Danio rerio: one gene and its partner. The protein of the gene in region 2 interacts with the protein of the main gene of each other region in a pairwise test. Links are inferred from orthologs where the notes say so. Each region holds a gene or a part of one and is shown on either strand. Other genes may lie near its edges.

What was found. The genes of interacting proteins can lie anywhere in the genome.
Region 1: the proteins of sumo1 (region 2) and setx interact in a two-hybrid assay, tested with the Homo sapiens proteins (2 studies listed by BioGRID and IntAct). The link is inferred for Danio rerio from reciprocal best matches to the Homo sapiens genes SUMO1 and SETX.

What each region holds. Positions count from the first base shown.
Region 1 is NC_133196.1:4,737,967-4,743,435, reverse strand, and holds part of setx (probable helicase senataxin), read right to left. Parts: intron 5,400-5,469; coding exon 5,289-5,399; intron 5,204-5,288; coding exon 5,029-5,203; intron 4,838-5,028; coding exon 4,744-4,837; intron 4,617-4,743; coding exon 1,089-4,616; intron 944-1,088; coding exon 847-943; intron 732-846; coding exon 558-731; intron 475-557; coding exon 251-474; exon of another isoform or gene 1-250. UniProt on the Homo sapiens protein: Probable RNA/DNA helicase involved in diverse aspects of RNA metabolism and genomic integrity.
Region 2 is NC_133181.1:10,602,795-10,608,803, reverse strand, and holds the start of sumo1 (small ubiquitin-related modifier 1), read right to left. Parts: upstream 4,190-6,009; 5' UTR 4,088-4,189; coding exon 4,076-4,087; intron 3,310-4,075; coding exon 3,238-3,309; intron 3,096-3,237; coding exon 3,018-3,095; intron 1-3,017. Other genes in the region: nop58 (nucleolar protein 58), read left to right, coding at 5,703-5,747. UniProt on the Homo sapiens protein: Ubiquitin-like protein that can be covalently attached to proteins as a monomer or a lysine-linked polymer.

The DNA.
Region 1 (5,469 bases), on a different chromosome or scaffold from region 2:
TTTTCCTACGTCTTGTTTGAGCTTCAGTTGCATTTTGGCTTAAAGTACCTAGTCTACAGTCGGAATGCATAAGGTTATGCATAGCATATGTGTTTTGTGTCCCTGATCTGATATTCTCATTTCATTAAGCGTTCTGATTATTTGGATGGCTTCTTTAATACACCTGATTCAAATAATCAAATTCCCTAGCAAAGATGAAAGTCTGACTCAAGAAAAGTAGGAAGCACTGTTTGTAAAAAGCCAAACTCACTGGTGCATCTAGGTCTGATGGTCCATCCAAAGAATGTGTGAAAAAAGACACATGGGGCGCAAGAAGAGGACGTAGCATTGGTCCGTTTCTCAGCAAACACAGTGCACGAAACTCCCGAAATATGCTGATCAATGATCCAACAACTTCACAGAGCACAGGTTGGGAATTCACTGATGATACATTACCGCGTGTCTGAATTGTCAGGTTTAATGTTGACCTGGAACCTGAAGAGGCACAGCTTAATGAGACAGTGGACATAAAATAACACAAAAAATACTCATTAAAATTAGAGCATCAGAGCACACACCTGGAGTTCTGTTTAAAACATTGGACCGGGATACATAGCCAAAATGAGGATGTAGATCATGAAAATTTGGTTCATCCTGGGCGTATGCCCCAGTGTTGTCTGGCAGCCAAAGCAATACAAGGTCATCTTCTTTTGGGTAAATTTGTTTCACATCACATTCCTGAGAAAGGCCGGCTACAAATAAAAGCAACTTTTTAAATCAAAAGGCTGATACTTTACAGGAAACACACTCTGCTAACAACTACAAACTGTAATTGTATTAGCATGAATACCTAATTGCTGAACTTACCAATGAAGCTAGCACTAGCAGTGCGATTGCTGTATTCAATACCTTGGACTTTTAGGTACAGCTTGACCCTTCCCTCTTTGAGCCATTCATTAGCCATCTATTGAAAACACAATGGATTAAAACTAAACCAATTCCTGATCTTGAAAAAGAACACCAATAAACAAATCATCTATATTTAAAAAAAATGCAGTCCCAATTATATCAAAAGATTTAGGCATTACTGAAATAAAATGTAGTCCCACCTCTTCGAATGCATTAATTAGCAGCAGTGGGTACAAGGTGTTGAAGTACTCCAGGTAGGAAGAAAAATTTACTGGCACCTCCTTCAGCGGCAGTTGGCACAGATCAAGTGGACTCCCAAATGCTTTATAATTATCAAGCATTCTGTATTCCCATTTAAGGATTGCCTGGGTTAACACCGAAAGGTCAAACTTTGGGCTTTGATCCATTGTGGGCATTGGTTTGTTAACTGGCTTGTTAACTGGAGCCTCTGGTCTTTGGTATACCTTGTATGATGGGGGTTCTGAGGTTGAGCTTATTTTATTACTGGTGACCAACTTGGGGACACTGCCCTGAGGAAGAGTTACTTGTTTTAAGGCAGGTGGCTTTGGTAATTGTGGAGGGGGTAAAGGCTGGAACATTTTGGGGGGTGGCATTTTTGGTGGTGGCATTGCTGGGGGTGGCATTGCTGAAGCCAATCGAGGAATTTTTGCTTTAGCGACATTTGCAGGAGGGGGAGGCTTGGCTCCTTTTTCCATTTCAAGGACAAGTGAGGCACTACGGGAGCTGGGAGTGTATATTTTAGTGGTGGAAGGTTTGGCTTTTTTCTGAGACATGGGTGACATTCCAGGCTTCAAGAACAAATGATCATTTGCCGCATTAGAAGGCGGTACATTTTTGTCAGTGAAGTCAGGTTGACCAGGGGTATCCGACCCACTATCTGTATCGATGTCCATGTCAACAGGATCTCTCTGGGTAAGAAAGAGTTCGTCGTTTTCATCCTCAAATTCCTCCATTTGTGAACAGATTTCCATGTCTGTAGGTTCCATCTGTGTATAGAACATCCATTCATCATCAACATCCTCTTTTGATGCTTGAGCAGCTTTCTCTCCTTCCAAGTTACCTTCAGCAGCCTCACTAGCTTGGAGGAACTTATTCCCTACCCCATCCCCACTAGAATCGCTACTCCCTAATGCACCTTTTTCATTATCCTGCTGACAATGGGCATCTGGTTGAGGACAGGGCAAGAAGTCACCATCCTCATTGTTTGGAATTGTTGGTCTCGATGAGTGCAATTCATCTTGCCGACTGACTGGTTTGGAAGCTGATGTTGTAATGGGTTCTGTTGCTGGCTTCTGATGCTTCTCACGACTTTGCCTGAAAAACTGAATATCTTGAGATCCCATTAGTTTCTTGTTAGCTTTCACCATACGTTTCTGCGGAGAAGTCTTACTGGTTCGAGACGCTCGCCTTCTTTTCTGATGTGGCTCCACCTGCACGTTCTGGCCATGGCACCTGAGTCTGGCGACACAGTCAAGTGAACGCTGAGAAAGATCAAAGGCTTTCCTTTCCTTCTTTTTCAATCCTAAACGCTCTGCCGTTGATTCTGGCTCAGCAATTTTACGCACCTTCTTTGGAGGAACAATGGCAGGGGTGCCACGTGACGTAGATGCAGAAAAATAAGGAGAAGTGATGGAGCTGGAGGATGGAGTGGATGATGATGATGAGGAGGAGGAGGAGGTGGAGGATACAGCAGATGAGGATGGAGTAGTTGAAGAGGAAGGTTCCTCCATGTCCTCAGATGTTGAGCTACGTTTCCAAGGGTGGCGTCTGATTTTTTGAGCAAGGGCATCAATTAACACTGGCTTTTTAACCTGCAAATGGTCTCTCTTATCAGATGGAGTGGTTTTTGTTACTTTAGTCTTTAGAGGTTTTGGTTTGGCAAATTTATCCCAGCTTTTTGTAGTACTTGATGCTTTGGATGAGAATTCATGCACATCCGAATTCTCTCGTGTCTGCTGTGGTCTGATTTTCTCTTCCACCTGCTTATAGTCTCTTTCCATCTCATCTGCTGGCTTTCTCGGCTGCTGTTGTCTGATCTTCTCTTCTGCCTGCTGACAGGCCCTCTCAATGTCCTCATCTGGTACCAGCTCAGTCTCTGAACTCCATGAGGGAGATGCTTCATTAGGCGTTTCATCCAACTGTGGCTTGAGTATTCGATCTGATTTGAGATTCTTTGTCAAGACTGATCCATCCAAATCTGCATTATCCCAAGCAGATGCCACATATTGCTGAGTCTCAAACTCAAACACTTGTGATTCACTTAGATCATCATAATCACGCCCCGGACTCTCAGGCATTACAGGACTTTCTGGAGATTTGTTTTTTACTGTGCATTCTTTGTAACTAGACCTCAAGGGGTCATTTGGCCTTATATCATTATCAGAATCTTCATCATCAGAGATAACTATGGTAGTGGACTCTGTGTTCTGCTTGGAAATAACCGAAGACGCAGTTGCTCTGGAGTCAACGTCAGAGTCACTAGATTCAAGCTTGTGGATTGCAGATTTTATCAGACGAGTTCGAGTGATATGAAGGGGTTCATCATCATCATCATCATCATCATCATCCTCCTCCTCCTCCTCATTTTTTAAAGCCCCAAAACCTGGTCTCTTTTTAGCTGACACGTCAGACTTCTTCCTTGCAATTGCTTCGATCTTTGACAAACTCTGATCATCATTTAATCTTGATCGAATTTCCTGCAGTTTACCCAGATCTGGTTTTATATTGGTCAACTCAACAGCAGGCCTCAGCTCTGAAATTAACACTGGGTCAGAAGGTTCCTTTTTACCCTTGAAGACATCCTCAGGCCCACATGAGAATTCCTCATTGGAGAAAGATTTTTTTCCATAATTCCAAAGAGGCTCCTCTTTGATAAACGCAGCTCTGCTGGGACCTGCCTCCGGGTCCTCTTGTTGTTGGCAGATTGATACTGAATTTCTGGAAACAACAGTATTTGTAGCTGCCTCAACAGATGGTGCGGATCGGGGTGGAACAGCAGGTCTTTCAGCCATCAGCTGCACAATTTTCCTCAAACACTGCTGAAGCTTTGCAGAATTTGAAAAAGTTAGACTCCACCTTTTGTTGGTATCACCACGCAGCTGCTTGTTAAGCAAATTCAAAAACATGGCCGCATCTGGGTCAGATCTTCTTTTCCCTTCCTTAAGCAGCTGCCGAATAAGCGTCAAACAGCCTTTAATTATTGCTCCATTCCCACATTCTGATGTAGGTCTTCCTACAATGCCAAGACTGTAAGATGTTGAACTGACACTGTGAATCCCACCCATCCTGTCTGGGGGTCCATAAGGTTCATCACATAAGACGACGCACATGACAATCACCTCAACCCACTTGGGGGGACAGCGAGAAAGTATTCCCATTTGTCCTTCGGTATAGTGTAGCTCAACGATTTGAATAAAGATACGAGCAAAGAGCTCAGTCACTTTATCACACACGCTTGCTTGTCCAGTCAGCATGTACCGATTATCTCGGATCTTATCACAAAGATAGTGGATGATTTCACTAATATAGGAAGCATTGTGCTCTTGAAGTTCCATTATGGAACGAACAAATGGGATGAACCACAGAAAAGTGCATCCATATACACGCATGCTCTGGCCCATCTCTGAATTAAGCACGCTGACCAGTGATTGCATATCGTCATAAATCACATAGTTGCTGCCAACACCACTGTTGGATGAGCCAGGTGCCTACAAGACGAAGATTAGGAGAATATTCAGCTTTATTCCTAATATGCATTAAAGCAATGCAGTCAATGTTTACTGCATAAAAGCAAATACACTGTGGTGCAGTACAATATTTAGGAAGAAATCTTACATGGCCTTGTTTTTTCGAGGCATAACAGTCATACACCATCTGACTGCAAGTCACGACATTGTCGTCATATTCTGGCTCTACTTTTACCATCCTCCTGTTAAATTAAAAAAAGGATTTAGTAACCCCACAATAATAAAGCACACAATGCCAACAAAACTTTACCCAGACATGATATTCCAAAACAGATGAATAATGACAGGACAATTGCATTATATATGGTTTCCATGCAATGAACGCATTTCAGAATGCCATGAATTTCCTTTAATTAATGCACAACTTGCTTACCCCATTGTCTTTTGCTGGATGCTTCTTAATTCACACACATAGCTGGCTGCTCCGGTGATGGTCTGGAAAGCCATATTAGGGTCAACCTGAGCCCAAATCTTAGAACCAAGACGGTCTAAAATGACCATGAAACAGTGGAGGGCTGGCCAGAAAGGGTCAGAAGCCGGGTTATCCTCTAAAAAATAACAAAAATATAATGAAATAATTAATATTAGCAACATTTTAACATCTCATTATATTAGAATCATAGGTGTACATACCCCTTTTCAATGCATCCATTGTATTGAGTATGCAAAGCGGGATATTAAACTGTCCCACGAAGAGAGAGTCCATTGCCTCAGCGCTGAGCTGTGTTAGTAACATACAGATGCCTAAAGGACACAAAACAGCATGTAATTGTAATGTGTATTTATATAGCACATTTATCAAGTACGGCCATAC
Region 2 (6,009 bases):
CAAATAAACTGGGATGTTTAATTATGATCAACACCTTTTAGACTATAATGAACTCGGAATGACAGAATTAACAAGAGTTACATGTGCTGGTAAGGAATAAAGAAACAAATGAGAGGGTTGCACTGACTATGTTTTGTATTGTTGTTTTTTTTTTACTCAAATAAGGCCTAAATGTACATTTTGGGTAATTTTTTTGTAAATTTGTAATGGAGACTGTAAGGATCTGTATATGTTCACATTGCATTTTATTGCGGATGTTAAAAGTTCATAGAAAGGTTAGTAATTACATTTTTTTACATAAGTATTTATGTGTATTGACCTTATTCTAAAATGCGGAAGTGCGCCTGATTTCACGATTGTCTTAGAACTTCCGTTTCAGTCGCCTATGGGAGAAATGACAAGGAATTATAAACGGCAAAAAACGGTCAAACTACTTGCTCTACAAACAAATGTTTGCATGACTACACAGACCAAGTAGAATAAAATAACAAGGAAATATCAGTTTGCAACATCAAACAGCGAAACGAGCAGTTTTTAATGTCTAAAAATGAATGGAAGTGAATGAGACCGGAAGTCTCGTGCCAAAAAAGATTCAAATGGCAGCGCCCACTCGTCTGCGGAGAATAAGGTCAATAAAGCACCTGTTTTGTGAGAAGTGCTTCTCATATGATATGTGAACGACCCATATGGCTTTACTTTTAGTTGAGTGACATGATGTAGACTGCAACTTTCTGCCTCCATGCCTACTACTAAAAGGGTACCATTTGGCAGTGGAGACACAAGCCTGATAAAGGTTACCCACACCGTACTGATCTATACCACACTGTATGATTTGGTTGAATTGGTTTTCTTAAAAAAAACAGTAAATAAAGAGTAAATGAATGAGAATAAACTTAAAGACTAAATACATTCACCTCCAACACACTGTAATCAATCTTTAGATATGGAACAAATATAAAACAGCAAAGTAAAGTCAGATGTAAACGATCGCACACTCTCGTTATCAGTTTCTAATCAGAGTAATGTGGAGCTGAACATTTTTACATTAAAAATACACACTTTTAAAAATGACAAACAGCGGTGTGTAATGAAAATACAAGACTTGAATTCATTCAGTTGTTCTAAACTTCTCAAATCGTTTTGTTTAAAGCAAATTCTGATATTGTCTTTGTGCATTTTCTAGAATAATGGTGCTGTTCACAAAACCATCGCCAACCAACTAAGATCACAATTTCCTTCATTACAAAAATAGTTCAGCAATTCAGTGTTATTCCAAATATACATCCATACATCTTATAGCAAACATTCACAAACAGCATCACACACTTGGTTGGTTGGAGCTACACCTCTAGAGCTGTAGTTAGATGCAGAGTTCCAGGCTGTGTTCTATTCTGAATCATCCACCCTATGCCCTTGTCCATTTGAACACAAATACTCTGAATCATTTAAAAACATTAAAGGTTGTCTTGTTCACATTTTATATTAAAGTTATTCTTATTACAGTTCAGTTTATAAACTTCAAATTGACAACTGTGCTATCTCCATAGTGCACTCCCATAACATTTATGCCATTTTAAACGCAGCAGTGACTCGTGAAGAAAGCTACATTTACAATCAAAAACCTGTTTACACACTTCCAGCAACTGTTAAAACAAACATTTAAGGTAATGATTTTAACTTGTATAGAAAATTGATCTCTAATATACTGTAAAAATGCTATGGTCCACACATTTCTTTTACATGGCCCATCATAAATTGATTAAACTTAATTTTTTTTCATAAATTTAAGTGGGCTTAACTTAAAACAATTAAGTTGTCCTCAAGAACACAAGTTTCAGCTAATTATATATAAGTACTTTGAACAAGCCGCAAAAGTCTTTTTTTTTAGTGTATATGATATATGCAACATTTCTGCAGTGGTTTGAGTGTTTATAAAACTGTAATAGTAATTTATTTAAATACAAAAATATACTTTTGTAAAATGTAATTTCTGAAACATGTAACTTTATAAGCAACAGATAAATATAAATATATTTTTTACATCTTTGACCATATACATATATATATATATATATATATATATATATATATATATATTTCAGAATTAGATTGCATGTCATTATATAATGGGTTTATGTTTTATTTATAATAGCAGAGAGTATGATATGGAATATTGTCAATAATATTTGTAAAAGAAAGTAAATACTTGTGTCGTTGCGTTTCATTTAAGAAAGCAGAGATAAAGAAAAGCCGAGGCAAGCAAACTAAATGTTTATTACCAAAACTCATAATGGGTAAAAATATATATATATATCCTGTGTGTAACAATATTTTCTGTACCAAAACTAAAAGCATCTATTAATGTGAATTTCCTCTTAATAAATTGTTACTCCACCCCCTTTAGATGATCATTACAGACGTTTTATGTTTTAACTAACATGGTTCAAATAATTGATCTGAAAGAGAGAATAAACTGTCCAGGGGTCTCATTTATAAACATGGTATACACAAAATTGGGGGTGGAAACACGTGTACGCCACTTCTTATACAGGTTATTATGATCTATAAAAAACAAACTTGACGGGAGAATGTGCGCAGCTTTAAGTAAACACATTTCGCTTAAATATTGACTTAATTCAAGCACTTTAAATCATCATAAAAGCCATAATAATTAATAAATAAATAAAAATGTATTCTGGTGTACATTCACTTTTAGGAAAGTTTCTATGCAATGTTTTATAAATGAGACCTCAGGAACCTTAACTGAAACATACACAACTATTTAAACATTGTTTTTTGTTTCGGCAATGACGCATTAATTTGATCACAGTTAAGATTTTTACAGTGTTAGTGTATTTCTATTTGTAACAATACTCACAATAATACAGATTTTATGCATTTTTGATTGAATAAAAGTAGCATTAGTGCGTTTTTTAAAAATCCTACCCACCCCCCAAAACCTCTGAATGGTAGTGTAGATTTATCGTTATCCCTCATAAATGGAAAAACTGACTCACCTGTCTCTGACTGTAGGATTCCTTCAGCTTCTTTAAATGTGTCGTCATCTTCACTTTAAAGTGAATTTCACTGTTGTCCTGCGAAATGAAAGGAAATCATCAAATCTGTTCAGATCTTTTCATATATCTCATTATAAAAGAACAGCTGGATTGGTTTTAAACAGTAATGGGTTTAAATATGAAAACCTGCATTTCCTAGAAAACAAGTGCTTTTGCTCACCTGACCGATCACTTTGAGTTTAATGTACTCTCCATCCTTCTTCTCGCCTCCATCACTTGAGGGCTTGGTCTCCTATTAAAACAAAACAAGCATTCGATTACTGCATGTCATATTGTTTTTTTATCAGATTTAATGTAATGAATTAAAAAAATATCTTGGGACTGAATTCAATAAAATATTGACTGAAGATCGTATAAAATAAGGTAGATCCGATTTTAATAAATTATAATTATATATATATATATATATATATATATATATATATATATATATATATATATATATATATATTATATATAAAATAATATTGTGAGTGTTGTTATCATTTAAACACTAGGCTGTGTGTGTGTGTGTGTGTGCTTTGAATGTAAACACACAACCTAACGTTACTCTTCTATCGCGAGCTGTTAATACGAGCACAAACCGAACACAAACTAACGTGAACAAATAACGAATAATCCTAATGAACATATCAAAAAATCAACAATTAATAACTAATTCAAATGTTCAGCATGGTCTATCAGCTCAAGATATTATGAACTCTGCTTTCAGGGCCCAGAGCAGCTAACTAGCACACATGCTAATTGGACGATTTGAGGAAGAAATTCACATATTTTTGGCATTTGTGAACACAGTAAATTGGACTAATGTGTAAATTGCGAGAACCAGAAACTATGCACAGTTAAAAACACTCAAGCATTTTTATCAAAAATACTTTCCAAACCACAGTCAGCTAGACAGGCTAAAAGCTGGGCCCTCTTATTTTCATTTTCTATAAGTCCGTCTTTCTCGTCTGCTCTCATGAAAGTTCGATTCAGCATCACAGGTTTAGACTCACCGTGTCTGACATGATATTCCGCAATGTGCAGCCCTTCTGTAGATCAAGATTGTTTGATTTAAACGATACAGTGTTATGTACAGTAATGAGAGGTTTTGATAGTGCTACCAGCAGACCCACAACACAGCGCCGTTGACGTCATTGGAAAGGGGCTGGACTTTCTATGACACTGGGTCGATGACCCAACGAGCGTTGTTTTTCTCACCACGCTCTTTCTGATTGGCTCCAATCGCCATCTGCGATGTTGCTATTGGTAAAACATAGGGAGGCCCGTATTTTGCAAAAAAAAAAAAAAAAAAAACACATCAGTATTTTGGTCACGAAATATTAGAGTGCAAAAATAATGTGACAACTACACTACACCTCTGGAGGACGAAACCTGCAAAAGCAACAAATAAATAAATACGCAAATAAATAAATTAATTAACACATGTACAAATTCCTTCATAAATAAAACAGTAAATAAATACGCAAATAAATAAATAAATAAATGACTAAATATATACACAAGTTCCTACATAAATAAAATAATTAATAAATAACTACACGAATAAATGAATAAATACTCAAATCCCTGTGTAAATAAAACAATAAATAAATAAATACACAAAAAATAAATAAATACAAATTCTTGCATAAATAAAACAATAAATAAATAAATACACAAATAAATTAATAAATAAATAGACAAATTCCTGCATAAATAAAACAATAAATAAACATGCTAAATAAATAAACAAATGTACAAAATAAATACACAAATTAAAAAGATAAAAAATAAAAAGCAATGAATAAATAAAGTAAATAAATAAAGCAATAAATAAATAAAACAATAAATTAATATGCAAATAAAAAATCAATTAGTTAATAAATTCGCAAATTCCTGCATAAATAAAACAATAAATCGTTTATTTTATGTATTTATAACTTTTAATGCCATAGATTTTAAAAAAGACATTAAGACTAATTCAGTGGATCAAAGGTAATATAAAAAATCTGTATAATGTTACTGAACATTTTATTTCAAATACAGTTTCTTCTGAGAATTTTAGAAAGCTGAATGTATTGTGTATTTAACAGAAATATCAAGCAGAATTATTATTAATCATAGAGCACCAAGTAAAATTGACCATAACAAATTCTGAACTCTCATTGGAATATTAAACATATTTACATACAACAATACAGATATTTAAAATTGAAATAATATTTCATATTATAATTGTTTATTCATCTTTTTGTCTAAAACATTTAAATATCTTTTTTTTTTACAAAACTTTTGTTTAGTATATTATTATTATCATCATCATCATCATCATCATCATCATCATCATCATCATCATCATCATCATCATCATCCTCATTATTTGGAATATGACATTATCCAAAATATTGTCTCTACACACTTTGAATATAAAACTCGAAAACTGAAAATCAACACGAGGTGATGGTGCATGAAAATGAGGCTGAGACTACTGCACATGCGCACATTTCACTGGCAGTATTGCGCATGCTCGTCCTGTCCCATGTGCGCCTCGTGGAGAGAGCGACTTCTTGTAGCGGAAGGCTCTCGGTCTCGGGAGCTCGACCTTAAACTTTATTCAGAGCAAGAAAAGCTGTTTCAAAAATGTTAGTGTTATTTGAAACTGCCGCCGGCTATGCCATTTTTAAGGTAAGCTCATTTTTTTGTGTTAATTAAATGTATTTGTAGCCGTTTTCTTGCAGTTGTGTAGCTTTTACGGTTACACTTAGCTAGCCGGCGAAGTTAGCAGTGCTGTCCGAGACTTTCAAAAAGACAAAACGTACAATCTAAGGATTTTTATTAATGCAAATGCTGTTAGTACATATGTAATTTTGTAGCTCACTCGTTTTTCCCCAGTGCGGTGTGTCAATGAGGGTAAAGCGGGTCTCATGTGGCCTGCTCTGCAGCACAG